Linked DNA regions of Pelodiscus sinensis. The protein of the gene in region 2 interacts with the protein of the main gene of each other region in a biochemical or structural test. Links are inferred from orthologs where the notes say so. Each region holds a gene or a part of one and is shown on either strand. Other genes may lie near its edges.

Region 1 (7,868 bases), on a different chromosome or scaffold from region 2:
GAGAGAGGCGTCATTAAAAGAAAACTATCTGAATGCTCAGAAATGACCCACTTGTATTGTTCATTGCAGTAAGTTCATCTGTACTGGTTACCCATAGCCTTGGGCTGGATCATCTCATTTGTGTATTGCTATAATGCAGTGCTGTCTGCTGGATGTTCTCTACTGCCCCGTTAAGTGCCCATGTCAGGTTTTCTCCACAAACTTCTTAGCTTCACTATGCTAGCACTCTTATGTCAGTCCGATTAGGTGTCATTTGTAACTGACACAGCTGTGTCAGCTAAAGCCACCCTAGCATAGATATGGCTACACTTTCAAATCTGCACTTTTCCCACTATAGGCAAGGCTACAGTTTTGCAAGGAGGTTTACAGGATCTGTCGAAAAAGGCTTTCTTTCTTGACAGATCCCTCTCTTGACTGCCGCTTTTTGCCGACAAAGTGCTGCGTTTGGCAAAACGCAGTGGCCATTTTTATGCAAATTAGGCATGGGATATTTAAATCCCTGCCTCATTTGCAATGTCGACCTGCCTAATCTGCATCCCTCTGCCGACAGAAGGATGCAGTCTAGATATACCCTAAAAGTAACTGTGACAAAATGGGACTGGGCCTGAGCCCTGAAAGGTTTAGTGTCCCCCACCACTGGCTGGGAGCTGTGTGGGACCGACCCCCTGAAGCAGCTGGGAGCTCTAGGGCCCCCCCATCCCTTCCCCTAAACTGCTGTCCCGCCTCTTCCCACCCCTGCTCAGCCTCTACCCCCATTCCACCCTCAATCCTCCTTCCCTGAGCAATTTGACCTGGCACTGGCAGCAGGGGTCAGGCCTGCCCCATACTCCCGGCAACAAGCAGAGGGACCTGGCTCCAGCCTGCTCCATTCTCCAGGTTCACAGCCACGTCACTTGCGGAAAGGCCCTAGCCTACCCCACCCCACCCCACCAGCTCCCTGCTGTGTTGCTTCACTTCCCACAGCCACCAGGTACACCTCCTCCTTATGTCCATCCAACAAACGTACTCACGCAGTGGGGAAAGATTGTACACCCAGGGACACATTGCACGAGGACAGGGTCCCATCCAAGAGTGGGAGACTATAACATTGGCTCACATCAGCATCTGGAACAGCCTGAGTCAAATGGGACTGTCATTGGGGTTCCTTGCAGGGTTACCAGTAGCTTGATGGGGCCTTTTCTTCTTGCCCTGGAACCCACAGGCAGTGCTTGGCTGTAACTGTAGTCCATGAACAAGCAGTCGAGATGGAAATGTCTTTCCCATCCACACTCATAATATTTTCCCAGGGTCATTCCCACTGGGAATGGGTTGACGGGTTGCCATCTAATCAGCATTCTCTCTGCCTTCAACAGGCCAAGTTGATAGATCATTTTCCCTGGCTCGTGAAGATCGGTAACTCATTCTAGCTATTGGCTTGGATTCCCAGGGTTCTTGGTCCTTTGACCTTGTGCCTCCAGCCCCTCAGCCTCCAAGTAGTCCTCTATCAAGGAGACTGCTCCTGTAAGTGAGGTTGAATAATGTTGCCTCATTCATTCTTTTCCTATGGTGGAGAGAATCTGAATGAACTGCACCATCATCGCTACCTGTGCCACTTGGGTCCCCTCAGCTTCTCTGGCTCCAGCCAGCACCAGAGCTTTTGGGCCACAGACCTTGGCCTAGTTCTTGGGGTGCTATCACTCCCGCCAAAGTCATTGCTGGTATGTTTCAGGGTTGATGCCCATTGAGTCAAGTATGGCCACTTTGACCAATGGGAGCTGACAAATTGTGCTGCACTGCCCCCCCACCTCCCAACGGCTAGGGATCAGCTAGCCAATACCAGTGCACCTTGTCACAGTGCTACATTAACAATACATGCCTTGTCATCATCAATACAACATCCTAGGTGGGCTCCTGACATTGGGAAGGGTATTGTACAAGTACTTCCTGGGGGGCTCCCTAAGCACTGAAGCTGGTTGCAGAGCCTGTGGGAGCCTAGGGCTGACCCCATCAACAGACCTATTCCCCAACCTTAACTCTGTTCCCAAGGGAGATTTCCTAGGCCTGCAGATGTCCTGGCCAGCTCCTCCATGAGCCTTCGGTGTACAGACAGCTTGGATTGGCAATTGAAGCTCCTCTCAGGCACTGCGTGGCCCTGTAAGGGCCTCTCTCCCATTTGATCCCTCTGGTGCATGGTCAAGATGGACAGGATGGTGAGGTTCTTCTTCCATATGATACACTTTTAGAGCTGCTTCCTGCTATACATTCCTTGGTGCATGATCAGACTAGAGAGCTTGTGATGCTGCTGGTACATGAAGCAAGGTCTCGTGCACAATGAGGTAGGACTGCCGCTAAAGCATTTCTGGCACTGGGCACACCATCAGGGCCTCTCTCCTATGTGGATTCACATGTGCAGGTTGAGTTTTGATACTTTTCAAACTGATACGGTCTCTGGCCACAGTTCGTTTATTGATGGGTCCTGAGCTAAGACAATGTGTTGAAGCTGCTCGCACACAACTTGTACAGGGGGAGCTCTCACCCACATGGATGCACATGTTCACAGTGAGATTCTTCTGCTATCAGAAGCTCTCCTTACATTGTGTGTTCCTGTAGCTCATCACTGGCTGGGTAGAGTTGGGAAGCACCAGTTCCTCCCGCAGGCAAAACAGCAAAGGAGATTCCAGACATATTGCTCCCTTTTGGGTTCGGCGTGGTCATGTATCCTACATGCAGTTAATCTCTGGCTTTCGTTCCAGGAGTCACCATCTAGAATGGGTGGAGGGGAAGCCAAAGGTGGTTTGCATTGCACATCACCACACCGAAAGCCCCCAATGTGCTTCTCTGATTGAGGGGCGCCATTCTCAACACCCTATTACAGTATTGTCATCCTCAAATGGTTAAAAATGTGCAAAACCCAGAAGAGTAAGTAAAGTAAAATGTGGGCTCTTTTTATTCCACTGTTTTTGCCCTTAGTTAAGCACTTCAGTCACATTTTGAATCTTTTCTCTGTAATCAGGAGGTCTAACAATCCATTTGGTTGTTTCATGAGAGTGGAGCTAAAAGCTAGGCATTATTATTCTTAGTCTCACTTGATCACATGCCTCCAGTAGCCCAGGCTTTGAAGAAAAACTTCAAAGGTTTCGTTAGTCTTTAAAGTGCTACTAGACCATTGTTGTTTGTTTAAGTTTTTCCTGTTACAGACTAACTCGGATACCCTTCTGAAGCTTTGGAAGGTTGTGACACTTGTGGGAACTGCCCCACGGTGTGGCTTTAAGTGGCTTGTGGCTTCGGCACTCCTGCTATAAAAACTATTCCGGTGCCACTGGACTTGGGCTAAAACCGCAGGATTTGGGAACGGTGCTCTTAAAACCAGGCGGAAACGTTGCCCCATAAAAACGTCCTCGGGGGGGGGGGGGTTCCCACGCCTGTTTCTCGGTGATTTCCGTGCCACGGATGCTGAGGTGATGAGGATCTGCGGATGCTGAGGTGATGAGGATCTGCGGATGCTGAGGTGACAAGGATCTGCGGATGCTGAGGTGATGAGGATCTGCGGATGCTGAGGGGATGAGGCGAAGGATCTGCGAATGCAGAGGTGACAAGGATCTGCGGATGCTGAGGTGATGAGGATCTGCGGATGCTGAGGTGACAAGGCGAAGGATCTGTGGATGCTGAGGTGACAAGGATCTGCGGATGCAGAGGTGACAAGGATCTGCGGATGCAGAGGTGACAAGGATCTGCGGATGCTGAGGTGATGAGGATCTGCGGATGCTGAGGGGATGAGGCGAAGGATCTGCGGATGCTGAGGTGACAAGGATCTGCGGATGCTGAGGTGATGAGGATCTGCGGATGCTGAGGTGACAAGGCAAAGGATCTGCGGATGCTGAGGTGACGAGGATCTGCGGATGCTGAGGTGACGAGGTGAAGGATCTGCGGATGCTGAGGTGACAAGGCAAAGGATCTGCGGATGCTGAGGTGATGAGGATCTGCGGATGCTGAGGTGACGAGGCGAAGGACCTGCGGATGCTGAGGTGACGAGGATCTGCGGATGCTGAGGTGATGAGGCGAAGGATCTGCGGATGCTGAGGTGACGAGGATCTGCGGATGCTGAGGTGATGAGGCGAAGGATCTGCGGATGCTGAGGTGATGAGGATCTGCGGATGCTGAGGTGACGAGGTGAAGGATCTGCGGATGCTGAGGTGACGAGGCGAAGGACCTGCGGAGCCAGCCGCCGACGTCCCCCCGGGATCCGAGAGTCAAGCTGGTTCTTTCCCACCCGGAGCAGGGTCTCTAGACAGAGAGGTCCTAGGAGCTGAGCTACCAGTTACCAGCCATGCTTGTGCTGCCCAAATGGCATGTGATTACACCCATGGCCTCCTCATGCATCCCCACCCCCTCCCAGTGTTGCCCTCAGCGATGGCTCCTGATCCTGAGCTGCTGAGGTGAGGTTACTAGAGACTACACATCCCAGCATGCAACGCTCCCCATTGAGCCGAAGGATCCAGGGATCCAGCTGGAGCGTTGCATGCTGGGATTTGTAGTGCCACTGGCGCGCCTAGGAGGGCGGTGGCTGTGAGTGTCAACGAAAAAACCCGCCGGCGCCCAACGGGCTCATCGGCAATTCTACTGGTCAGGTCTCCTGTCACACAATGCAGGGGCGGGAGGAAGGAATCTTTGGCGGGTTTCAATTGGCTTTCCCGCTTGCCGTCCCTTCTGTTCTATTGGCCAGCCCCGCTCTGTGGGCGGAGGAAAGACGAAGGCCAATGTCTTGGTCATTCCACGAGGGGAGGGGGCGGGAAAGGAAAAGCGTCCGGTTTGTGATTGGTCGCGAGGCGCCGCTGCTCTTTTTTCACCCCCTCCCCGCCCCAGAGTGGCGGTCCCTCAGAGAGGTGGGCGGGGCGCGGCCAGACGGCTTCTGATTGGCGGGCCCGCGTTTGGCGCCAGCTTCGGGTGTCCGCGGGGAGCTCGCGCGCGCGCGCTGTGCGGCTGACGGGAGGGCCCGGGCGCGGGGGTCGCCGCCGACAGCAGGAGCCGCCCGCCCGCCGCATGGATCCCGGCCCCGGCCCCGGCCCGCCGGGCCCCCACCGCCGCCGCCTCCTCCTGCCGCAGCTGCCGGCCGCCGGGCCCGGCGTGGCCAAGTCCCTGTTCCCCGCCGAGCTCTCCCCGGTCTCCGGCCTCAGCCGCACCATGAAGCAGCTGCAAGGGCTCGGCTACAGGTGGGACCGGCCCGCCCCCTGCAGCCCCCACATCCCCCCCCCCGTCTCCGCACTTCCCCCCTCCCCCACACTGCCCCACGTGACACCCGCTCTTCGCCCCCCCCCCCCCCCCCGTCAGCTGCCGGAATCCCGCAGGGGCGTTTTCTCCCTCCCCACGTGTGGCTCCCAGAGCGCCCCCCCCCAGCCTGGAACCTGCCCCCCCCACTAACCTCATCCCGCCTGCAGGGGCCCCCCCCCCCACTAACCTCATCCCGCCTGCAGGGCCCCCCCCCCCCACTAACCTCATCCCGCCTGCAGGGCCCCCCCCCCCCACTAACCTCATCCCGCCTGCAGGGCCCCCCCCCCCCACTAACCTCATCCCGCCTGCAGGGCCCCCCCCCCCCCCACTAACCTCATCCCGCCTGCAGGGCGCCCCCCCCCACTAACCTCATCCCGCCTGCAGGGCGCCCCCCCCCCCCACTAACCTCATCCCGCCTGCAGGGCCCCCCCCCCCACTAACCTCATCCCGCCTGCAGGGGCCCCCCCCCCCTAACCTCATCCCGCCTGCAGGGCGCCCCCCCCCACTAACCTCATCCCGCCTGCAGGGCGCCCCCCCACTAACCTCATCCCGCCTGCAGGGCCACCCCCCCCCACTAACCTCATCCCGCCTGCAGGGCCCCCCCCCCCCACTAACCTCATCCCGCCTGCAGGGCGCCCCCCCCCCACTAACCTCATCCCGCCTGCAGGGCGCCCCCCCCCCACTAACCTCATCCCGCCTGCAGGGCGCCCCCCCCCCCACTAACCTCATCCCGCCTGCAGGGCCCCCCCCCCACTAACCTCATCCCGCCTGCAGGGGCCCCCCCCCACTAACCTCATCCCGCCTGCAGGGCGCCCCCCCACTAACCTCATCCCGCCTGCAGGGCGCCCCCCCACTAACCTCATCCCGCCTGCAGGGCCACCCCCCCCCACTAACCTCATCCCGCCTGCAGGGCGCCCCCCCACTAACCTCATCCCGCCTGCAGGGCCCCCCCCCCCCCACTAACCTCATCCCGCCTGCAGGGCCCCCCCCCCCCCACTAACCTCATCCCGCCTGCAGGGCGCCCCCCCCCCCCACTAACCTCATCCCGCCTGCAGGGCGCCCCCCCCCCACTAACCTCATCCCGCCTGCAGGGCGCCCCCCCCCCCCCACTAACCTCATCCCGCCTGCAGGGCGCCCCCCCCCACTAACCTCATCCCGCCTGCAGGGCGCCCCCCCCCCCCACTAACCTCATCCCGCCTGCAGGGCGCCCCCCCCCCACTAACCTCATCCCGCCTGCAGGGCGCCCCCCCCCCCCCCACTAACCTCATCCCGCCTGCAGGGCGCGCCCCCCCCACTAACCTCATCCCGCCTGCAGGGCGCGCCCCCCCCCACTAACCTCATCCCGCCTGCAGGGCCCTCCCCCCCCCACTAACCTCATCCCGCCTGCAGGGCCCCCCCCCCCCCACTAACCTCATCCCGCCTGCAGGGGCCCCCCCCCCCACTAACCTCATCCCGCCTGCAGGGCCCCCCCCCCCCCGCACTAACCTCATCCCGCCTGCAGGGCCCCCCCCCCCCCCGCACTAACCTCATCCCGCCTGCAGGGCCCCCCCCCCCCCACTAACCTCATCCCGCCTGCAGGGGCCCCCCCCCCCCACTAACCTCATCCCGCCTGCAGGGGCCCCCCCCCCCACTAACCTCATCCCGCCTGCAGGGCCCCCCCCCCACTAACCTCATCCCGCCTGCAGGGCCCCCCCCGCAGCCCTAACGCATCCCCAGCCATGCGGCCCCCCCAAAAACCCACTTGTGCCTGTGGCCTCGCCCCCTCAGCTTCCATAGCCCCCAGGACCTCGCCCCTACAGCGGCTTCACGCCGGCTCGCCCAGACTTCACCCCGCAGCCTCCTTGTAATTGCCTCCGTGGGGCCCCCATCACTCCACCCCTATAACCTTTCTGGTACCAGGCTCCCTAGTTCCTTGGCGCCTGTCCCCTTCCTCTGTATCTGGCTCTCTGGGCTCCAGTCCTGCAGCCTTCCAGACTTCTTGGGCCTGCACTTCTCCTTCGGATGGCTCTCATGACTCTTCCCCCTGCATTCCTAATCTCTGCAGCTCCTGTGAATCCTGGTCTGTCCAGCTCTACAACATATGGCCCCCCATAACCTCACCCATGTAACCACCTTGGCCCCTTTGTTGTTTTTCTCCAGCCCGTTACTCCACCTATATAACCTTTACTTCCACTATATATAGTTCCCCTGAGCTCATTCCTGCAACCTCATGGCTCCCTGGTACTGGTCTGTTTAGTGCACCCTTTCAACACAGCCCACATGGTGCCACATATGATCTCAATATTATTCCTAGTTGCTGCCACATACCTTATGCATGAGTCCCCATGACCTTGTCCGGAGACAGCTATGTGTGCTGTGTTCATTATGGGTACTCAAAATTTCAATTTGCAGGACTGTTAAACTGGCACGTTTTTGCATTGTCCACTACTTAAACTGATCAATTCTGTTCCGAATGGAGCTCATCTACAGTGTTTCTACATTTTAAACCTATTGTGACACTTTCTGGCTGAAACATTGAGTAAAATAACTCTGTTTTTAATCTTTATAGTCAGCATGAAAACTCTCTGCTAATGCTGGAAATGAGGAACAGTAGCAATCTACAAAGAACAGACTCGTCGGAA
Region 2 (6,955 bases):
TATTGCCCACTCCTGGATTAGATTTATTCAGTAATAAGGATGTCAAGAGGCAGGTAATTGACTAATTTGTATCGACTACACAGTTAATTCCTAAGAAAAGGTGCGCTGTCCCAGCTCACGCCAGTCCAGGAGCTACCCCTGCTGTGGCTCTGCATTTTACAAGAAGAAGGTGCTGGGCATGCAGGCAGCCCAGCATCTCCTACATTTAAACTGCAGAGCCGCAGCAGAGGTAGGTCCCAGACCAGCAAAAGCCTGGACAGAGCTGGGACCGCTGCAGCTCAGCAATTTAAATGTAGTAAGAGCTGCCCAGCTCTTACTACATTTAAAATGCTGAGTTGCAGTGGTCCCAGACTAGCAGGACTGAGCTGCGTTTGCTTGGTCCCAGCTTGCACCAGGTCCAGCAGCACACCTGTGGGGGATCCTAGTGGGGAGCGGCCTCCCCTACCCGCCTTTTTGCAGCAGGCTCGGCTACCTCCAACCTCCCACGCTGCTGCCTCTGACAGGTGGCACCGCAGAAACAGTGCTGGGGAACCAGCTTTTAAGCTGGCTCTCCCCCAGCACTGGCTACTGTCCCCCTGCCCTTTCTGCCTCTGATAGAGGGAGCAAGGTGGGGGAAAAGCAATTAGCTGAGTACTTGACTCAACTATCCGAGAAGCTTAGCCTTATTGGGTAGTCGAATACTCAACTACTCGCTTACATCCCTATTCAGTAATAGGGTTACTTATGCATAAACAGGGTACTATAGTCCCCATGCAAGACTACAATAACTTAAATATCATTCGATATGTGCATTATTTAGCTCAAGTCTCAACAAGGAAGAGCCTATATGTATATTTTATTTTTCATGCCTCAACCACATTTTATCTGCACATACGTTTGAAGATATACAGGGAGCGCATCCTCACAAACTCAGTACATATCTCATATTGTGTATGAAAGTGTGGGGAAGTAACTGATCGTACACCCAGATTTGTGCAACAAAGGAAGAATGGGAGAATGGAACAAACAAATGAAGTTTAGAACAATCGCTATTTCAAAATCAAAACTAAGTTATCTTAATATTGTCACAGGGAAATAGAGAAAGCTGGCACTGCCTGCTAAGAACAATGTTTCTTCTCCCCATGTCCAGCCCTCCTATGCCATTCAGTGTGGTCTCTCTGAAATCTAGTGCCTTTATAGGGACTACTATGACTTACCTGTGGGCCCAGTAATGCCACTAAAACTTACATCCACTGTAAATTTCCAAATCCTAGTTTTGATTTTTGGCACTCAGACAACAATCAATGTCACAGTAACAAATAATTAATTGATGGTCTAGATGAAGCATACAGATGTCCTCTTTTTATATATATGTTTAAAGTAGAGACAGTTGCAAAAATACAAACTGTCAATTATACTGAAATGGATAGGTTCTAGGCTTTAGCTCTCTAATGAAGAAAATGATGTTCTGTGACGTCATCTATCCATGAAAAATTAAGGCCTTAGACCATAAAGGCCATGAAAACACAGGATATTTGGTCATACTACCACAAGAATTCAAGCAGATCTTATTTGTTTTACGACAGCATTAAGGATCCCATGTCATCTTGTAAATTGAGGGGTTTCTCTTAGTTTCCCTGGCCAAAAGTCTCCCCTCCTCTAATACCATTCAGTATGCTAGAAGTGAGGTATGCACAGAGCTGGTGAAATGCCACAAGTTCCAAGAAAACGCTATAAATTACAAAGATCAGTAACTATAAATCCCTAGCCAAGTCAGTTACCTGGTTTTCATATTGCTTTCTCTTGTTCATTTCCATTTTAACAATTTCTTCATCAGGATCCTGTAGGAACTACAATGGGGAAAAAAGAAAAAAGAGCCATGTGCTAACAAGAATACAGACTCCAGGCCAAACTCTACTCTGAGTCACACCAATGTAAACCCAGTTGTTATCCCAGGCAGATATAGGTTGCATGACAGAGCACAAAACTTTAGCCAGTTACAGCAGTCAGAATGCCACATGGCCATTCACAATCCAGCCAGGGCACAAGAGGCCACGGTCCAAATATTTCAGCAGCCAGAGAGTCCAGATGGACACGGAATGACAGAGCAGCACTTAGAGGATCAAAGTGAGCCATTTTGTACTTACAGTCGCCACATCAGCTTTTCTCTTTCGGGCTCGCATGGCAAGGTCGGCAGCACCCTCACCCTTGGGGGGAGCCTTCTCCTCCACGTAGTCACTGCCAAGAAACAGAGATACAGGGACATAAACCCCTCGAGGAAGTCTCCTCTGGGATCTGCCTAATGGAGACCTCGGCCTACTTCACTTTCCACCCCCACACGCCCTGCAGGGAGCTAGGAAACTCACCTTTCCCTGCGCATGGTGCCTGGATGGGACTGGGAGAGGCTGGTTCCAACCCTAGGAGAAGGGAAAGGCAGAGGGTTAGGGGGTGGGGGCAGGTCACCGCCTCACAAAGGCGAGAGCGGCAACAGCTGCAGCGCCCCAGCCCCCACAAAGAGCGCCGGACGCGCGGGCGGCAAGGATGGGGGGGTCCTCATCGCCGGGCGGGGGCACCTGAGGGGAGCCCCTCGGGGGCGGATGTGGGTGCATTGGGGGGCATCGGGTCCATCCATCCCATCCCCCCCCCACTGGGGCCGAAGGGGGGCCCCGGGCACAGGCACCCGATTCCCTCCCCACCGCGGCCGCCTTACCCCGGGGAGAGGCTGCCGGGCCGCACGAGCCCTGCGCGGGAGCTGCCCGGCGCTGCAGGCGGGGCCGGGCGGGCGGGGAGCAAGGGCGCGGGCGGGCTCCGCTGGGCGCCTCCTGCCTCACAGCGCGGCCGCTCCTGTCCCTGCGCAGAGAGCGGCCCCGGCCGAGCGGGACATTTAAACGAGAGGGCGCGGGGCCGCCTCCCTGCCCGGCCCGCACACGTGGCCCCGCGCGGGGCGCCGCGGGGACCCGGCCGGGGCGGGGTCTGCGCGGGGAGGCGGCGAGGCGCAGGGGGCCGGGCCGGGGGCATGGGGCGAGGCGCGGGGACCCGGCCGCGCGGCGACCCGGCCAGGCGGGCAGCCGGCTCGGGCGGGGCCAGCGGGCGCAGGGGAGGAGCTGGCGGCCCGAGGCGGAAGCGGGAGGAAGCAGCGTGGCTGCCCCGGCATGTAAACAAGGCGCCCAGGCCGGGCCAGGCCGAGGGGGTCGCACGGCGGGGCTGCTCCGAGAGGCCCGGCCCAGGTAACGGGGAGCGGGCTGAGGACGCTGCCTGCGTTGGGAGGGGGAGAGCCCGGGGGGAAGCTGAGTGGGGCTGAGCTTCCTAGCGCCTGCCCGTGTGGGCTGCACCCGCCTTGGGTCGGTGTAACCAGGCTTTCCGCCTTGGGAAGCGCCGGATCCTTAAATCGCTCCTCTTCCCTTCCCATGTCTCCCTGGACTGCCCCTCTCAATAATGAGCCTCCCGGCGCTGACTGAATCCCCACCCCCGTCTGTTTTTCCATAGACTATGGAGTTTCTGAAGCTCTTCGGGAGACTCAAATCCGTTGTCATTGGGATGGTGCATGTGGGGGCATTACCAGGTAAAAGAAGAGTTTTTATATTGACTGTTGCTGGGAAGATCATGTCTCCAGTGAGTTTGATTTAAGGAAAAACCTCCCTGACCCATGCTGCTATTTCTCAAGGTCTAGAAAGACGCAGAATAGAAGTGGGGGTGGAGCTAGTATATTGACAGTCTTTCACCCTGTTCGCCATGCTGCCTCCTGCTGCCTCCATGTGACTGTAATCTAGCAAAGTAGAAATGCTCTCTGCAACATAGCAGGTGCTGTGATGTGTAACAGATACAGCCTTTGCGTAGGAGTGTGCTCCCTGGACTTTACTTAAGTTGCACAAGTTTGCTGGCTGGATTTGTTGTATCCAGAACGTTAGAGTAGGTGACTTTTTATGAAATCTCCATGCTGCCCTGCAGGGGGGGGGGATAGAGAATTTGTGGAAGCCAAAAGATCAGGGATTTTTGTCAGGATACAGTGACCTATTTGGAAGGCTGGTAGCTGAGATGAGCATGCATGTTTTTCAGTGCAATATTTGTCCTTCACAATGGAGCATCCGTAAAATTACTGTCTGGGTAAAATTACTGTCTGGGTAGTGTGACTAGTCAGTGTCAGGCAAATTTTTCAGTGTGATCTGTCCAGAGTGATCTTATGGCTGTCTCAGATTAAAAGTGAGCACTGGGTTCAATCTTTTTAGACTAACTTCTAAATTTGGTTGCTCAATTTGTGACACCTTCCACCTGAACTTCAAAGGTATTGAATGCCTTTTCTGTTATAGCAGCAAGGAGTCCTGTGGCACCTTATGGACTAACAGAAGTGTTGAAGCATAAGCTTTCGTGGGCAAAGACCCACTTCGTTAGATGCATGTACTGACGAACATGTTTTCTGTTACAGTTGCATTTATAGCATTTCTGAAAATAAAGCCTGAAGTTACGCATCAGTATATCAAGGAGACCAAAAACTTTCAAGTGTTTCATCTTAATTTTGGGGAGAACAGACAGAAAAACAGTAGCCTTCACTGCTTTTTGTCTGTTACTCGTCCGTGCATTATTTTGCAACAGTTTACAACTATAGTTGTATCTTTGTGTCTTGGCTACAGTCCTGTGTACTGGGAAACTTCCTTTTAGCACTAATGTAGTCCTTACATTTTCTCCTGTGCATCATTCCTGTTTTGTGTGGCTTTGAGAAAATTGGCATGCTAGACTTAACCTCCAGCCTTCACGAATCATTGGAGGCCTACCAAGCATCCATTTGTGTGACTTTGGTCTTCTCTGTATTAATTTCCCATCACCTATGCAGGCTAGTTGCCTGAGACACTGCCACAGATTGAAATACAGTGCATTGTCACCAATATAGAATGAGGTGTAATCAGAGCTGGTTGCGAATAGGTGAGAATGACAAGTTAGGTGTTGGTCTAGTTCAGCGTAAGGTTACGTTTGATATATCTTGAAGTGTGAATGCTTTTAAATCATTTTTAGGAACTCAGTGGTCAAAGCATGTCATTCACATTCTACTAGAGACAAAATACCATTGAAATACGAGACATGATGGAGCAGACTACTACTCACATTATTTACTTTGCCATTTTGTGCCTACTTTGGCACTTCTATCAGTGCTTGCAGTAATCTAAATTTAATTCTAGCTTTGTTTTGATTTCTACTTCTATCACGGCATATAAAAACATTGTTCTTTGCAGGGACACCACAGAGCAGTTTGCCACTGACCCAGATCACTGATAAAGCCTGTTATGAGTCTGAGATTTATAAGGATGCTGGAGTTGTAAGTTTCATTGTTCATTCTTCTATTCCAATTTTTGTATAAAAATATTGCTGTATCCGAGTACAACAAATCTTGGTTCTGTGGAGTTAATATTTCGAAGATCACATTTATATTAGAGTTCACATCAAACCTGTATCCAGACTGCTGTGCAGATTGTTAGAAAATGCTTGAAATTCAATCCTATATCCCTGTTTTGAAAATGGCCTCAATTTCTATAATAGTTTAAACCAAAATCATGGATCTTGTTATTCCTGAGCTTTGGAAGACTCTGGACCAGCACTTTGCAGCTCAGGCTGATCGCTTAAGCATATTTACAGCCAATTCCTAAAACAGGGGCGGGGAACCTAAGGCCTGGGGATCAGATGCAGACCCTGTCTTGCCTGGATCGCCTTCCGAGATTTGCCTCCCCCTTCCCTCCTCCCTCCCCCGAGATTTGCCTCCCCCTTCCCTCCTCCCTCCCCTCAGCCCTCTCACCATCTACTAGTCTGGTGTGTGAGGAGAATGAGGCGAATGTGTTTCTCCTTCTCAGTCTGGGGCCACATCAGTGAGGTGGTTTTTTTCCCCCTTCTCATTTGTGGCTCTGCCTGTTTTTCTGTGGGTCTGCGGCCTCTCCGACCTAAAAAAGGTTCCACACCGCTGTCCGAGAAGAATCAGACCAGTTAAAGAAGTTACATTGTCATCTCTTATTTTCTGTTTTTACAGTGCCAGCAGGATAGCAGAAATAGGCACTTCTATTCACTTACCAATTTAGGGCAAGACAATCTTTGTTCTGGCACATGGCTCAAGGGACTATAAAGTACTTTCACAGGCCTTCTACACCACAGGGCACTGCTCAGCTACATGAATTCCTGGTCCATAAATATCTTAGGCACTATAATAATACAAATAGTAATTAATATGATGAAGAAAAGTTGGTTATTGAAAAAAATCTAGTACACTCTGGTCTTTGGTAAAATTCCTCATCCAGTCTGACAAAGTACTATATTTGTTTGCCCGACATATTTTTTTTCTCTCTCTCTCTCTCTCTCTCTCTCTCTCTCTCTCTCTCTCTCTCTCTCTCTCTCTATATATATATATATATATATATATATATATATATATATATATATATATATATATATATATTAAAAAAACTTCCTGCAGGATGACAGAATGACATCATCACGTCAGCATCAATAGGTTGGGGGGAGAGGCAAGCAAGAGTGAGAGAGATTTCCACCAGTGACGCTGCAATGCCACCCCTGGCTCAGTTCAGGATAGCCCATTACAGTGAGTGTTGGCTGGAGTGCATGGCACCCTGCCGCTGGGGGAGCTTGGAATGCTGCATAGAGCTGGGGAAAGCCTGCCCAGCCATAGCCGACGCTGTCAGCGGGCGCAGCATGGAAAAGCCCTGGGCGTTGGGCACCGGCCGCACCACAAAGGGCTCTTTGTGCGCCGCTCACCTTCCTCACAGGCAAAGCCAAAGTAGAGGGACCCCCATGGACAGCATGGTCTGCAGCAGTGGGACGCAGTGCGTCCCGCTCACCCTGCTGGTGACTTCCTCACTCCTATCCGTCCACCCAGTCCACCACGCTCCAGCTCAGCCCCCTCCTATTCTCCCCACAGTAGGGAGCCCGTGCTGGTGCTCGAGCCTCACCCCCCTCCAAAGCCAAGACCCCGTGTCCTCAC
Region 3 (7,739 bases), on a different chromosome or scaffold from region 2:
AATTGAGTTACGTCTTGCCAAAATACAATGATAACTACAAGTCATTAGCAGATTTTCTCCAGAGAACTGCTGAATGCACCAAATCATGTTTATCCCATACTTCTTGAAATGTCCTATCATGTGAAACCGAGTGTAAAATACTTCTTGTCTTTTCTAGTATAGACAAGGACATAGATAGGACGCTGATTGAATGCTGAATTCCTAGTTGACCATACAACTGATAATCATCCATGTATAATGTATCCAGGCAAGCTCCAGGAGTCATGAGAATGCCAGCTTTAATTTTATTTTTAAAACTAAGTTTTTAGAATTGTGGTAGCAGAAAAAGCAGGAAAATACAAAATAAAAACTAAAACCAAAACCAGAACATAAGGCAAATAAAACGATCCAGTTTTATTAGTTCACATAAATCTCGTGTTTTTAAAGATAACTTCATGGTGAAAATTTTTCTTTTTGTTTTATTATCTTTTGGATTTGTTTGTTTTTTTACTGATTTTTTATTTGATGCATGATTGGGGCTGGCAATATTAAGACCCATCATCAGGCATAATGGTCCATGCAAAGGATAGAAAACTAAGGCTATGTCTACACTACAATATTATGTTCACTTAACTAACATCAGCATAGTGCTATCACAGTTATTAAATGAGTGTGTGTGTGTGTGTGTGTGCGTGTGCGTGTGCAAACACTTGACTCCCTGTGTTGCTGGTGTGTGTCCTCACCAGGAGTACTTGTATCAATTGTATTGTCAGTGTTGGGCACTGTGGGACAACTCCTGAAAGCCAGTAAATGTCCATGTGAATGCTGTGTTGGCCTAAATACGTCAAGGCTACATCTACACTACATGCTTCTTGCGCAAGAAGCCTTTTGTGCAAGAGTTTTTGTGCAAAAACTTCTAGTGCAAGAGCACGTCCACACCTCAAAGCACATCACAAAAGTGATGTGCTTTTGCACAAGAGAGCATCCACGCTGCATGGACACTCTCGTGCAAGAAAGCTCTGGTGGCCATTCACAGAACCCATAGAGGTTTATTGCACAAGAAACCCCTGCGGAGCATCCATGCTTGCCTTTTTGTGCAAGAACTCTTGCGCAAAAGGGAGTTTATGCCTCATAAAAGGAGGTTTACCTACAGTGGAAAAAGCCTTCGGTTCTGCCATTTTACTTTTGATTTCCTTGCGCAAAAGTGCATTTGAGGTGTGGACTCTCCACGGGTTTTTGTGCAAGAAGCCTTGCAGTGTAGCTGTAGCCCAATTGTAACTCTACTCCACAGAGAGAAGTAGTTTTATATAGGCCATGTCTACACTAGCACTTCTGTTAGCAAATCTTTTCTCACTCAGGATGATTAAAAATAACCGCACTCCCTGGGGAAATAAGTTTTGCCTGAATAAACACTTGTGTGTACAGCACTATGTCAGTAGGAGATGCTCTCTCAGGCTACGTTTAGAGAGCGTGACTATTTTGGGATACTGGAAGTATCCCGAAATAGCAATTCCGCATCTTTAAACGTGCCCGTTATTTTGAAATAAATAACGGACACACTATTCCGGCATCCCTGTAGCCCTCATTTCAAGAGGATTAAGGGATTTGTCAAAATAGGGCTTTATTTTGAAATAACCTCAAAATAAGCATAGCACAAACTGTGTAATTTATTTTGAGTTAAGGGTGCTGTGTACATGTACCCCAAATGCCATAAGCTATGTTTGTTGAGCTGGTTTTATTAAGTCAATGAGAGATTTTTCTCCCATTGGCATAACATGGCTACATGAGCAAGCTTACATTGATTGGCACAGTTTTATCTGTACAGCTTTGCTGCTGTAATCTTCTAAATGTAATCATGCTCTAAGGCCATGTCTTCATTACAGGCTGGATTGACAGATAGTGATCAATCCAGTGGGGGTCGATTTACTGTGTCTAGTATAGATTCGATAAATCAACTGCCAAACGCTCTCTTATGGACTGGGTACTCCACCAAAACAAGAGTAAGTGAAGTTGGCAGGAAAGTGTCAGCTGTTGACTTACTGCGGTGAAGATACTGCGGTAAGCAGACCTAATTGTGTTGACTTCACCTACTTTATTTACATAATCGAAGGTGCGTAACTTAGGTCGACGGCCTGTGGTAATGAAGACAAGGGCTATGTCAACACAGAGAGGCTTTTATGTTGGCAGGAGCTAAATTTAAGTGAAGTCACTTTCACAGGAAAGTCAATGCAAGACAGCTTACATTGACCTAACTCAGGGGTGTCCAAACTTTTTTCAAAGAGGGCCAGATTTGATGAAGTGAACATGCGTGAGGGCTGACCATTTTGCCTGACATTCTTTGAACCAGTAAAATTAAATGCAAATTAACTATTTTATGCAAAGTTTATTGCAAACGGCATACTTTTCATTTCGTCACATGGATGACAAATCTAAACAGGTGTTAAATCACTCTGCCTTTCATATCTGAAGGCCAGATGAAAAAAAAAAAAAATCCAGGAAGCTGAAATATATGTCAGGAACATTGTAAAGTACATTACATATTATTGGTAATAAAGGTTGTCTGTCAACTTTTAAGTTCAAAAAATATGAACAGGAACATAACACCAAGTATACATGTTGTGTCCAAATATATATTTATAACTGATTTAGACCAACTGACATTAACTGAGATTTTACAATGTATTCATCTCAATACATATGGATTTGTTGGGGGCCATAAAAGATAGATATTGCCAAATTACCTTTGGGGCCGTATTAAACCGGAACACGGGCCGCAATTGGCCCGCGGGCCGGACTTTGGACATGCCTGACCTAACTGTATAGTGTAGCGCAAGCCTAAGATTAAGAACTCTGTACTCTGAAATGAATTTGTTCTCAGGCTTTGGGTAAGTCACATGAGCCTCTGCTAGCCCTGAGATATGGCAATGATCATTGTGATTGAATGGGGCAAAGGGGGAAAACAGAGTTTTCCAGATTTATTTTTCCTCCTCTTTCCCCCAGCCTTCCTTGTGGTGTGAAGTGGCTTAGTATTGTTTGTATTACATCAGGCATGTCCAAAGTCCGGCCCGTGGGCCAATTGCGGCCCGTGTTCCAGTTTAATACGGCCCCCCAGGTAATTTGGCAATATCTATCTTTTATGGCCCCCAACGAATCCATATGTATTGAGATGAATACATTGTAAAATCTCAGTTAATGTCAGTTGGTCTAAATCAGTTATAAATATATTTGGACACAATGTGTATACTTGGTGTTATGTTCCTGTTCATATTTTTTGAACTTAAAAGTTGACAGACAACCTTTATTACCAATAATATGTAATGTACTTTACAATGTTCCTGACATATATTTCAGCTTCCTGGATTTTTTTTTTCATCTGGCCTTCAGATATGAAAGGCAGAGTGATTTAACACCTGTTTAGGTTTGTCATCCATGTGATGAAATGAAAAGTATGCCGTTTGCAATAAACTTTGCATAAAATAGTTAATTTGCATTTAATTTTAATGGTTCAAAGAATGTCAGGCAAAATGGTCGGCCCTTACGCATGTTCACTTCATCAAATCTGGCCCTCGTTGAAAAAAGTTTGGACACCCCTGTATTACATCATTGCCTTAAGGAGTGTTCATAGTGAAAGCTTGAGCAGCCCATTAAAAAGTTTGGGCCCAGACAGCCATGTGTGAACAAACCCAGATTCTTCAAGGACAGTTGACTCCTCTCCATCCAGTCTGCTTTACAGGCTAGCTGCTTAAATCAGTTTGTCCAAAACAGCAAGAGTGGTGGTGCACAGGCACATAAAAGTAAAATTATATGGAGTTGTGCAGGACAGGGGAGAACACAGTGAGAGGGATGGGTGCAAAGCGCTGTCAGCTCCCAAAACTGACAACTTTCTGCTCCCATTACAAAAGTAAAGGAGCAAATCCTTGTTCCTTCAGCAAAGGGCTAGTGATAGCTGGAGGGTATGTTCTTGCAGGTCAGATGTGGACGTGGTCTAGACCCCTAGCAGAACGCCCTACCCTGCCAACGGCACCTCCCCTTCTCATGAAGGAGCTGGCCAGGGCTGTGAGGGGACCAGAAAGCGTTCAAGACTCACAGTGGCACTCGAACCTGCAGTAGCAGGTGTGATCCCTGGAGCACCTAACCCTGGTGGCCAAAGACACGCTAGGAACTAGGCTAACTTACGGCGACCCTCCCATTCACGGCGGACGTGGGAGCCCTTGTTTCACCTCATTCTTTCTCTCGTGGTAGGAGGAGGTCCGCGCTGGCTACCTCCTGACGCATCCCCCCCGCGCTCCTCCTCGGGCTGGCGAGGGATGCTGTGGTCTGGAGGCGCCCGGCTCCCCGCCGGAGTTTGAATGTAAGATCCCCTTCCCGCCCCCGCGCCTCGCCGTGAACTCCTGACCTTCCCGTCTCCGGGGCGAGGGCTGGGCGCGGGTGCCAGCGGGTCTGGATGCGAAGCGCTTGTTGCGAGACGGAAAGAAATCAAAATGTCACAACTGAGCCTTCCCCCCTTTCCTCTCCTCCCCCCCGCCCCGGCCCATGGCTCGGGCCAGGCCCCGCTGCAGAGCCGCTCCGCGCTGAGCTGCCGGGGAGATGGGAACTTGGCAGGGCCAGGGAGCGCGCCCGCTTCCAGCAACAGCCCGCGACAGGAAAGTGGGAAAACGGTTTTCCCTCCCTCTCCTCCCCCACCCCCTTTTTAGATGAAGACGATGAAAGCCGAGCGCTGGCAAAGGAGGCCGGGCCACCTTTAGAGCTGGCTGTTTGGAAGAGGTGAGGCGCAGAGATGGGGCGGCGCCCGGCGCATTAACCAATGGATCGCCTCCGCTGTTTAAATAGACTTGTAATGTCAATCATTTTCTTCTTCGTCAGCCTCCCTTCAATCGCCATATTGGGCAACTGAGAAAAGGGCTCGTCTTTTCTTGTTTTTGCCGTCGTCTTCTCCGTGTTCGCCCGCTTCTCCCCTCCCTCCCCCAACGACGCGGCAGCTCTGACATCGGCGAGGTTTGCTGGCGCAGCTTGGATCGGGGGATCCGCAGGCTTCGCATCAGCCTGGAAGTGGGCTCGCATAGGGGCTTGGCTTGCCCCATCCTTCGCTCTCCCCAGCGTACACTTGATCTGCCCGAGACTTTCTGGTGACTATCGGGGTTCTCTTCCCCCCTCCCCTCTCCCCGGCCTGCGTCTTATGCAATTGTTTGGTGTTGTCTCTTCTCGTGGAGCCGAGCTCGAGTGTAAAAAACAAAGGCACGGAAGGAAGGATTTCAACTTAGCGACAGCCAGCCACCGCCAGAAGAAAGAGGGTGGGGGGAGATGTCAAACGTACGTATTTCTAATGGGAGCCCGACCCTGGAGCGGATGGAAGCCCGGCAGTCGGAGTATCCAAAGCCTTCCGCTTGTAGGAACCTCTTTGGGCCGGTGCATCGTGAAGAGTTAAGCAGAGACTTAATGAAACATCGCCAGGACATGGAAGAGGCATGTCAAAGGAAATGGAATTTTGATTTCACGAATCACATGCCCCTGGCTGGCAGGTTCGAGTGGCAAGCGGTGGAGAAAGGGAGCTCGCCGGAGTTCTACTTCAGGCCCCCCCGACCCCCCAAAGTCGCTTGCAGATCTGCCCCTCACGAGAGTTTGGATGTAAATGGAAACTGCCCAACGGTGATTGTAGTTGGTTTTCAGGGGAACTCAGAGGACGCTCACTTTGTAGATCAAAAAACTGATGTATCTGAAAATCACACGGACTTAGCAGAGCAGTGCACTGGGCAAAGAAAACGACCAGCGACGGATGGTAAAGTACTCGTAGAAAACAAAAGCCTTTTTTTTTTCTACTGTCTGTACTGTATCCTTGTAAGCATTAACGCTGTATACCTCTTTCGCATGTACATCACACTCTTGTCCTGCCTACGGTAAACTGTTCTGCTGGTGACACTTTTAAGATTTATTGTTTCTCTTAGATCAAAAATCCAGCACTGCCTATATTCTCGGGAATCTTAAATTAAATTGACTTCTGGAGCCCATGGCCCATCTGCAACCAACCTTACACCTTCCTCTCCCCCCTTCTTCCCCTCCGTAGTAATCGTGGGAAGTCTATATCCTTCTAACGTGAGGAAATAGTACAAGTTTCATAGAAAATATGAAACAAAGTGTAGAAGTAGATTTTCGACAAAAAAGCCTTGTTTTTATTTAATCAGAGAACCAGTTCTCCCCATCTCTTTCATGCAATCGATAGTTAACACATTGAGGGTCATAAATATTCAGGGTCTTCACCCACCCCCATGCAGAGAAAACATCTGGCAGCAAATGTATTGAATATTAAGTTTTCACTTTTATTTTTGTTTCTTCCCATTTTCCCTTCCTAGATTCCTCTCCTCAGCCTAAAAGAGCCAACACAACAGAAGAAGAGGTTTCAGAAGAACCCCCCAGTGCCAGTTCAGTGGAGCAAACCCCCAAGAAATCCAGCCCAAGAAGACGTCAAACGTAAACTGTTTAGGTGAGTACCCATCCAGTGGTGTTTTTTTAAAGCAGCGTAACTAAGCAAAGAGTTAAAGGAATATGGAGAAACTTTGTAGACTAGTATTTTTAATACACCGAAATGTTCAAAAGGGCTTTAAAATAGAAGGCTACAGATTAAATACATTTTTGTTAATATACTTTAGAAAGACTATGCTAAACTTTGGGGAGGGGGAGAGATGGGGAGTAAATGTGTGAATTTTTACTATGTGTCATTAATAAACAATCCCTTTCCACTGGTTTAAGATTTTGGTCACTTCAATAAAGAGAATCCTCTTACCAATTATATCTGTACTAGGCTGGTAGAACTAGTGAGTGATAAGTATTGATGGCTTTTCCCATTGTCTTTTCATATACTCATTGTGAGACATACAAATAAATAAGGGCAATAAATCACAAAGCTGAACATTTTCTTTATATCAAAACTGTTCTTTTTGTTATTTTTTGTAGACTCATACAAATTGTTGTTTACAGTCAGTATACTGGCTTAATGAGAGGTGGTTTTTGGGGGATTTTTTTGTTTTTGTTTTTTTTTAATGCAAGGAAGGGCTGTTGATTGGTACATTTACCAATGGTTTCAAAGTAGTGGGGGTTAAAGGAAAAGGTTTCCAAACATGATTTGCCATTGTGCAGAGCAGATTAAGCTATAAAAGCAGAAGTTAAAACAAATTAGCCCTGCTGGGGTAAACAATCCATGAACACGTCAGCATGCATGTGTATGCAAATTGTACTACTACTGTCTGTTTATTTGGGTATTTGAAGAGGAAACTGATGGTGTCTGCAGACAAATAGATGGAGTAGAAGAGATTTGTTTATTTTGACTATTGCAACCCAAAATACGTTACAGTTCAGAAAGTAGAAGATATGTTGCAAAAGAATCTTGTATTGATCTTAAATATGCCATCTGGGTCAGCTATCAGACTTGTTGCAAAACAGCTTAATAACACAGCATTTATGCTATCTTTAAAAAGTGAAATGTGGGAAACTCTGGAAACATGTTCACTTGGTCTCAGCTCACCTGCTGGATTTAAAAAAAACCCTCTGTGTGTGGCGCATCAGCCCTCTTTAAGGATGGGGTAGGGTGAGTTTCCTTTGTTTTTTTTAAAGGAATATGTCCCTCTTTTACCCCACACCCCATTTAAAATTGCGCCATCCCCAACAATTAGGGAAAAGGATGCAGTGATCGATTTAGTTTTTAAATAGTGACATGTATGTTATGATGTCCTCTAGAGCAAAGCTATCACATTTCTTTTGGCACTTCT
Region 4 (7,282 bases), on a different chromosome or scaffold from region 2:
TATTGTGCCTGGTCCTATATATTTACAATCTGACCCATTGGGTCACATCCATATGCCTATACAAAATATCACTGACATCAGTGGTACTCCTTATGAGTGCAGGGACCAACCAGATAGATCAAATTGCTGATCTGTAGTAATTTCTATTCAAAAGAAAATTTTCCACAAGAACACTATACTGTTAGAACATGATTCCTGTGTTTGTCAGGTTTGAAAAAACGATGTTTTACATACACACATATATATATTTAGCATCTGACAATTATTTTGAGACTTTCTTGATCAATTTATAAATGAGCCATATAAAGCTGATCAGTTTAAATTAAGATTTTCTGTCTTAATAGGTTATAGCCTATCTAAATTCGGGTCAGTAGGTATGTTGCATTAGCCACATGCAAATAAAATTGAAGACTGGTGCAGATTTAATCCTAACAGGAAGATTAGGGTTCAGTTCGTGCTCTATAATTCTTCATGCCACACAATCAGAAGCATATGACACTCAAGCCTTTCATTCCTTCAAAACTTTAAGTCACATATGCCTTTTAAAACTGTCTTATATTGACTTGCTAAAAAATTAAAGAAAATTTTAAAAAGAACACTAACTGCAGCTCTGTAAGCAAGTACTCTGATCTGAACTCTGTACAATTCATCAAGATATATAAATATTTGAGTCAGAAAACACTTCTTTCATTAAATCAAGTTTTCTTATAAATGCTCTCTACTGCATTAGAAAAAAAGGAACAGATATATGCAACTAGGCACAAATTGCAGTAGACACTGCATATAATATTCACATAGAATTAAAAAAATCACACCGTCATAAAGTTACACAACTTTCTTTTGCTTTTAGATGGTTTAAAGAGAACATCACACTAACATTCCAGAAACCATACATTAACAAGAAAGGAAAAATAACTTCTCGCTACAAAAATAATAGGGAATGTGCAGCAATTTCCCAAGAAATTCAGTTACAAAACTTTTAGAGGATCAATGTTTCATCAGTACATCAACTATAAAATTGAACATATTTAATTTTGATTAGATCTCAAATAGGAGACAAACACCCAATGAGAGAGGCAGAAAAAAGGTATTTAAAATCGGGGGATAGGAAGAAATCCTTCAAGCACAAACAACTTTATCTAGGACCTCAATGTTATGTTCTTCATCTGTAATTAACAAAATAAAAATTAAAGTGAAAAAGGAGGAGTATGTAAAAGGAAAAGTTTACAGTTTTTGAGACCATGTGGTAGCCTTTGTGATTTGTGGGGTCCACAATGAGGGAACAGGGATATTGGGGATTAACTACCTCTTCTTTCCAATACCAGAGGGAAATTTTGGCTAGTTGGATTACAAGGTCACGTGTTGTAATCTGCACAATACATGTTGTCAACTTTGAGGTAACTCTGGTCATTTCACCCAGTGCCCTCTTACCTCCCACCACTATCTGTGAAGCCCGAATGTAAGTTGATTCCTCAACTCCACTCCTGCTGTGTGAAGAGATAACAATGGCAGGGCAGGACTGCAAGAGACAACTACTCTCAGCCAGCATGAAGGCAATGGAAAGATCAAGATGAACCACGACTTAGCTGCCATCAAGATTTATAGAGACAAAATGGGCAAGGTAATTTATTAGTCAAATTTCTGTTGGTGAGATAGACAAGCTTATGAGCTGACACAAAGCTTCAATAAAAGATATTACCTCACCCATACTGTCTCTCCAATATCCTGGAACTTAATACAGATACAACACTGCATACAGTTAGATTTATAAGCAGACCACATGGTGAAAGAACAAAAGGGATACACTTGATTAAAAGATACAAATATTTCCTGGAAGGTCAAAAGAAAAAAAGTCATCAATATCACACTCTTTTTATGAGGACATATGCCAGTGCAAAGCTGATGTAAAACACTTTCAATCCCTTTCCATTGGGTTTCACACTTGCTTTGCATAAGTGTAGTACTCTGCAAAGGAGTGGAGAGTCCAGTCACTTATACTTTCACTTACCTGTGAAGCATATTAGGCACCAGGGGAGAAGGGGTCAACCTCCACTCTTCATCCTCTGCTCCCCCAGACTTCACCCACCACCTCCTCCAAACATGCCATATCCCTGTTCTCCTCCCTCCCCCCACCCCCACTATGAGCACCCCCACACTGCAAAAACAGCCTTCTGTGGCAGGCAGGTGTTAGGAGAGAGGGGGACAAGCTGGTCAACGGTCAATTTTTTTTCCCCTTGGGTGCACCAGTGCTAGTATGTCTTTGCCGTAAAGCACCATTATGTTGATATTGGCTAAATAAGAGATCAAGACTAGCAATATCTCGAGTCACAAACTAAGTGCATGCATATGTATTGTGCCTATAGTGCGTGTGTGCGGGGTACCCTGGCTGCATAGATGTACGTGTGCATGGTGTGAGAACCTACAGAGTGGCTGCATTATGTTGGGGAATGCATACACTACGGGGTGTTGCACGGAAGGGTGCGTACTCTACAGTGTGCGTGTTGCCATTCCTGCACGGTTGTCCTGCAATCTCTAGGAATTAAAGGGTTCATCTTTAATTAAATATTACGCCATGATGAGATACCAAAATTGGCAGCCCTGTTTGTGTGCGCGGGGGGGAAGGGAGTATTGGGGCGGGGGGTTGCACAGGGAGTGAACATGTTGCGCGCGGGGAGCGCAAGTAATTTCCTATGTCGGTAGCCGCGGGGCCAGGCCAGTGCTGGCAACAGGCGGGTGGAGCAGGTGGCCACGAGCCGGGGGGGGGGGGGGGGGGGGGGGTCCCGGGCCCAGGCTGCTGCGCCACAGGCTCGGTGGGACTGGCTCGCGAATAGATTGTGTGGGGGGCGGAGGAACCGCTGGCTGCATCCGGGTCTCACTCACTCACCTATCATGGCCACGATGGGGGGGGAGGGAGGAGGGCGCGCGCACGCCCCCGTCCCGTCCGCGCTCGCAGCTCAAATTCTCGCCTTCAGCACGGGACTGAAGACGCAAACTGCGGGGCGGGCCGGTGGGACGGGCTGGGCCGTACTGCGCATGCGGAAACTTGGCGCGTGCCCCGCTGAGCGCAGTAGCCCTCTGGGTAGTGTAGTTCTCCTGTGCGCCCGCGCTTTCTTACTGTCGCCAGGGCTGGGGTGCGTGATCGGCGCGATTTCCTTTCCCCCTCTCCCCTTCCCCTCTCGCCCCGCCCACCTTCCTCACGTGACCGCAAACAGAAACCGGGCAGGTTGTTGACACGTTGCTTAGCAACCGTGAGGCGTCCCTAGAAGCGTGTCGGTGTTAGCAACAAAGCGTGTCAGTGGCCCAGCCCCCCCGACCCTACCTAGGCGATAGCAGGGGGTGAGAAAAGGCAGCAGGGGCAGGGGGCCAGGAAGGGGCAGCCGAGCGTGAGGTTGATTTTATTTTCCAATGTATTCTTTTAGCCTGTATTGTGATTCCTGTTTTCCACAGAGGTGCCTGGGGAGATGGTGGCAGAGAAGGAGGATTCGAGCCCCCCCAAGCTGCCTGCAGAGAGACCCCAACAACAGCAGCAGCCACTAGGCCAGGCGAGGAGAGCCAAGCAGCAGGTCACCGATGGATTCACGGTTAAAGCCATGATGAAAAACACTGTGGTACGTCTGCTGCCAATAAAGAGGCTTTACATTCATTTAGTCTCATCTGCCTGTGAAGCATGTTAAGAGGCGGTGGGTGGGTGGAAGGGGGACTGTGACTGCCAGAAAGTATGTAGGGTTGGTATGATTTTGTCTGGGGTTATGCAAATAGCATTCAGGCCTTGAGGAAATGTCAGCTTGAAGTAAGGGCGGTGTCTCAGGCTATTGCCATGCCTCTTGTTAAAATGTGTCAGTTTTGTGTCACCATATTGTTATATATTGCATAATCCAATTATATATTGATTTAAAGGCCCACCTATCATGGAGTTATGTCCAAACATAATTATGCTGTACATTATTAAAATATTACCATTTCATACCATGGCACTGTGTCAAATATGGTGAAATTATGACATACATATCACATTATCTGGGGAAAGTTTCTCTTTGCAAAGGAGACAGTCCTTAAATTCTCAGCTGAAAAAATGATTATAAGCACATATTTTTAATTAAAGGAAAACCTATACAAGGTGGTAAGATAAAAGAGTTGAATGTCATTATTTAATCCTGAAAACATGAAAAATATAGCATTTAAAAAAAGTCCAACAATAATCATGAAATATCTTTCACACAGTATTAGTAAATACTGTCTTGAAAATAAACATTCTTTTTTTGTGGATAGCCTTTTAACATGAGGCGGTCAAATAGGGGTTGATCCATCAATCTTTACTTTCACTAACACTTCTGCCATGAGTAATAATTGTGATATCCCATCCTGTCTTTATAGTGAACCTTTCCGACAATAATTGTTGTAATTGATTGCTTCCATTAAATGTAATAAATAAACCCCAAAGCTTGTGGTAATGCAGAATGCAGCTGCTCAGTTACTGAGTGGAAAGTGCTGTTATGGGCACACAACATCTGTGCTCAAATCTCTGTATTGGCTTTTTGTTTGCTTTTGGGTACAATTCAAGGTGTTGGCAACAGTCTCTTGCTTTATCCCTCACTCTCTCTTTAACTGCATATATGTTCCTGATAATAGTTACAAAATGCATGAAAAGAATCCCTAGAAACTGATCTGACCTGGCTCTGGAATTCATTACATATGTCAACATTTAGAAGGAAAAGAAACGAACAGTCTATCTAAATATAATGTAATCTGTAAAATGTATTTGAGAAATAACATTTCCCCCTTTTATAGGTTCCAATTGGGCTAAAAGCCAACAATAATTAAGTGCAAAACCCATCCCAGCATTGACCTATTATCACGTAATAATAAAAACACAATGTTTATTATTTAATGTTAGCAGCCAAATCACTCACGCCCAGATGCTTAACTTTATGCAGGTGCATAATAAAATTAACTTCAATAAGATTATTCATAGAACATAATTATTTTATGCATAAAACTTTGCCTCAATCAAGCCTTAAAGACACAAAACATGAAAGGTAAGAAACAGGGACATAACATAAAGCAAGCATATGAACAGTCAACAAACTTGAACCGTAATCTGAAATTAGTGATCAGTATATAGAGAACTGTTTGTTTTGTTTCTTTGTTTATTACTGCTTTTAATTCACAAAGTCTCCAGTCAGGATTTGGGCTCCGTGGAAACACAAAGAACTATATCATCACCATTCTGAAGCGCTTAGAACTAGAATTGATGCTCTACCACAGCTGAAATATGGGAATCCTCTCTTTCAAATGGCATAGAACATTTATCTCTAACCCTGAGGTTCATGAGTCCTCGATTTAGAAGCCATCAGTATGTATTTCCTAGATCATAACATTGTGTTTTTCTAATAGCTCTCATATCTACAATATATGCTAGTGAGTGACAGGCCCTCATGTCCAAAACCTAATTCTTACATTTTCACAAAAGCAAGCTGGTCTTTGATGCTTGTTTCAAATTTGTTCTGGATTTTCACTTAAATCAGCCTCTTACTTTGATAATCTGCAATTACATTCATCCCACATACTCCGTAAAATGAACATTAGACAGTTTCTGTCCTTTTATTTGGACAGGTCATAGATCTTTTGTGAGTCCTATTTTCTCTTCTTGATTTCTGGGAATAAGTTTAGTGGCATTTCCATCCTTCAAATTGTTGGATAATTATTGGCTGCAAATGCACAGACATGAGTTCATGAGACAATTTTCTCTATTTATACCTCTGCTGGAGTGTTACATAAAGTTCTGACTGTCTTTGGTCAGATCCACAAAAAGACTTTGGTATTGCAATGCTGAATATTGCATCACCTAATGTTTTATGTGCTCAGATAATTCAGGAACACCACTGTGATCCACAAACCCTGAGGTTAGTGTAGAACAGGGCTGCATAAAATATGGCTCACGGGCCAGATTCAGCCTACTGAGCCACGGGATCTGGCCTGCGGACGCAGCAGGGAGCCCCAGGCAGGCTCCCTAATTGCCTCGCCCCACCCACACTCCACTCAGAAAAGCAGCTGTCGGGACATTTCTCTGTCACCACTGTGAGCTGTTTCTGGCCAGTGAAAGCTGCCTGTTTGAAAAACAGGCAGCACACAAAGAACTACACCTCCCTCCCCTATGGCTTGTAATTATTCTCACACACACACACACACACACACACACACACACACGGGAAGCTGCATCAGAAATGTGCTGGGCTGCTGGCCCAGAGTCACCCAAGTAAGTCTCCCAGCCAGAACCTGTTTCTGGCACCCCAGCCCCTCCCTCCCCCAACCTTGTGCCCACCACTCCTGCCTCCCCTACCCCATATAACCCGAACTGTCTGCCCCTCTCCTGCACCCATACTCCCTCCCAGAACCTGCACCACAGCCCTCTACCCCAGGTAACAAACCCCTTCTCCCCTAGGTCACATCCCAAACCCCAGCACCCCAGTCCCCTGCCTGGATCAAAACCCAAATCCTTACACCCCAGTTCACAACCTCTTCCTGTCCTATGTCACAATCCGAACCCTTCCACCACAGTCCAGTGCCCCAGATCACAACTGTTTCCTTCACCCAAGCTCCCTCCTAGATCCCACATTCTCTCCAATCCCTTACCCCAATCTCCCTTCTGCACCCAACTTCCATCCCAGACCCCGCACCTCCTCCATTAATATCATGGAAGAGTGCAGCCTTTGACCACTTTCCAGAATCTTGGAGTGGCCCCCCATCAAAAATTATTGCCCACCCCTAGTAAATAGGTTCCCTATACAATTAATGGGAAGAGGTAGGAGCCTAAGAATGTGATACACAAAAGTTAATTTGCTAGGCAGGGAACTGCCTAGCTAGCTATAGGCAGATACTAACTAAAAAGTTGTATACTAAGCCCCTTTCCTCTCATGGAGATAGACACCCTAAGTGCAGGCTGCACAAAGGCATCTAGCTTCATTTGGCCATCCACAAATGGGAGCCCATCTCCTGAAGTCAGGAAGTTTAAATGTTGACACTATTTTTTGCAGAAATAAGTGAGATGTCTGTGTAGTGCCATACAAAACAGCCAGAGAAGGTGGTGCTCGCCGTGTAACTTTTAGCCCAGTGGTTGGAGCACTCACCTGGGATGTGGAGATCCATGTTTAAGTGCCTTCACTACTAGAATGGAAGAAATAATTTGAACAGGGATTTCATTGCTCCATGGAATGTGCTCTAGCCAATGGGCTATGGGATCTTCTAATCTGAGGCTCCCTCATATTCTCCTGTTATATCTTTT

Evidence for each region.
Region 1: the proteins of CCNE1 (region 2) and CDC25A form a complex in vitro, tested with the Homo sapiens proteins (2 studies listed by BioGRID). The link is inferred for Pelodiscus sinensis from reciprocal best matches to the Homo sapiens genes CCNE1 and CDC25A.
Region 3: of the proteins of CCNE1 (region 2) and CDKN1B, one has a biochemical effect on the other in vitro, tested with the Homo sapiens proteins (4 studies listed by BioGRID, with this or other methods). The link is inferred for Pelodiscus sinensis from reciprocal best matches to the Homo sapiens genes CCNE1 and CDKN1B.
Region 4: of the proteins of CCNE1 (region 2) and PRKN, one has a biochemical effect on the other in vitro, tested with the Homo sapiens proteins (2 studies listed by BioGRID). The link is inferred for Pelodiscus sinensis from reciprocal best matches to the Homo sapiens genes CCNE1 and PRKN.

What each region holds. Positions count from the first base shown.
Region 1 is NC_134712.1:257,276,556-257,284,423, reverse strand, and holds the start of CDC25A (M-phase inducer phosphatase 1), read left to right. Parts: upstream 1-4,856; 5' UTR 4,857-5,019; coding exon 5,020-5,189; intron 5,190-7,795; coding exon 7,796-7,868. UniProt on the Homo sapiens protein: Tyrosine protein phosphatase which functions as a dosage-dependent inducer of mitotic progression. Directly dephosphorylates CDK1 and stimulates its kinase activity. Also dephosphorylates CDK2 in complex with cyclin-E, in vitro.
Region 2 is NC_134722.1:25,696,717-25,703,671, forward strand, and holds the start of CCNE1 (G1/S-specific cyclin-E1), read right to left. Parts: upstream 3,004-6,955; 5' UTR 2,998-3,003; coding exon 2,690-2,997; intron 2,397-2,689; coding exon 2,346-2,396; intron 2,218-2,345; coding exon 2,127-2,217; intron 1,830-2,126; coding exon 1,761-1,829; intron 1-1,760. Other genes in the region: uncharacterized protein F13E9.13, mitochondrial, read left to right, coding at 3,469-3,541, 5,205-5,287. UniProt on the Homo sapiens protein: Essential for the control of the cell cycle at the G1/S (start) transition.
Region 3 is NC_134711.1:128,801,569-128,809,307, forward strand, and holds the start of CDKN1B (cyclin-dependent kinase inhibitor 1B), read left to right. Parts: upstream 1-4,732; 5' UTR 4,733-5,280; coding exon 5,281-5,755; intron 5,756-6,326; coding exon 6,327-6,448; 3' UTR 6,449-6,457; intron 6,458-7,739. UniProt on the Homo sapiens protein: Important regulator of cell cycle progression. Inhibits the kinase activity of CDK2 bound to cyclin A, but has little inhibitory activity on CDK2 bound to SPDYA. Involved in G1 arrest. Potent inhibitor of cyclin E- and cyclin A-CDK2 complexes.
Region 4 is NC_134713.1:115,480,154-115,487,435, forward strand, and holds the start of PRKN (E3 ubiquitin-protein ligase parkin), read right to left. Parts: upstream 3,018-7,282; 5' UTR 2,892-3,017; coding exon 2,885-2,891; intron 1-2,884. Other genes in the region: PACRG (parkin coregulated gene protein), read left to right, coding at 3,462-3,608. UniProt on the Homo sapiens protein: Functions within a multiprotein E3 ubiquitin ligase complex, catalyzing the covalent attachment of ubiquitin moieties onto substrate proteins. Substrates include SYT11 and VDAC1.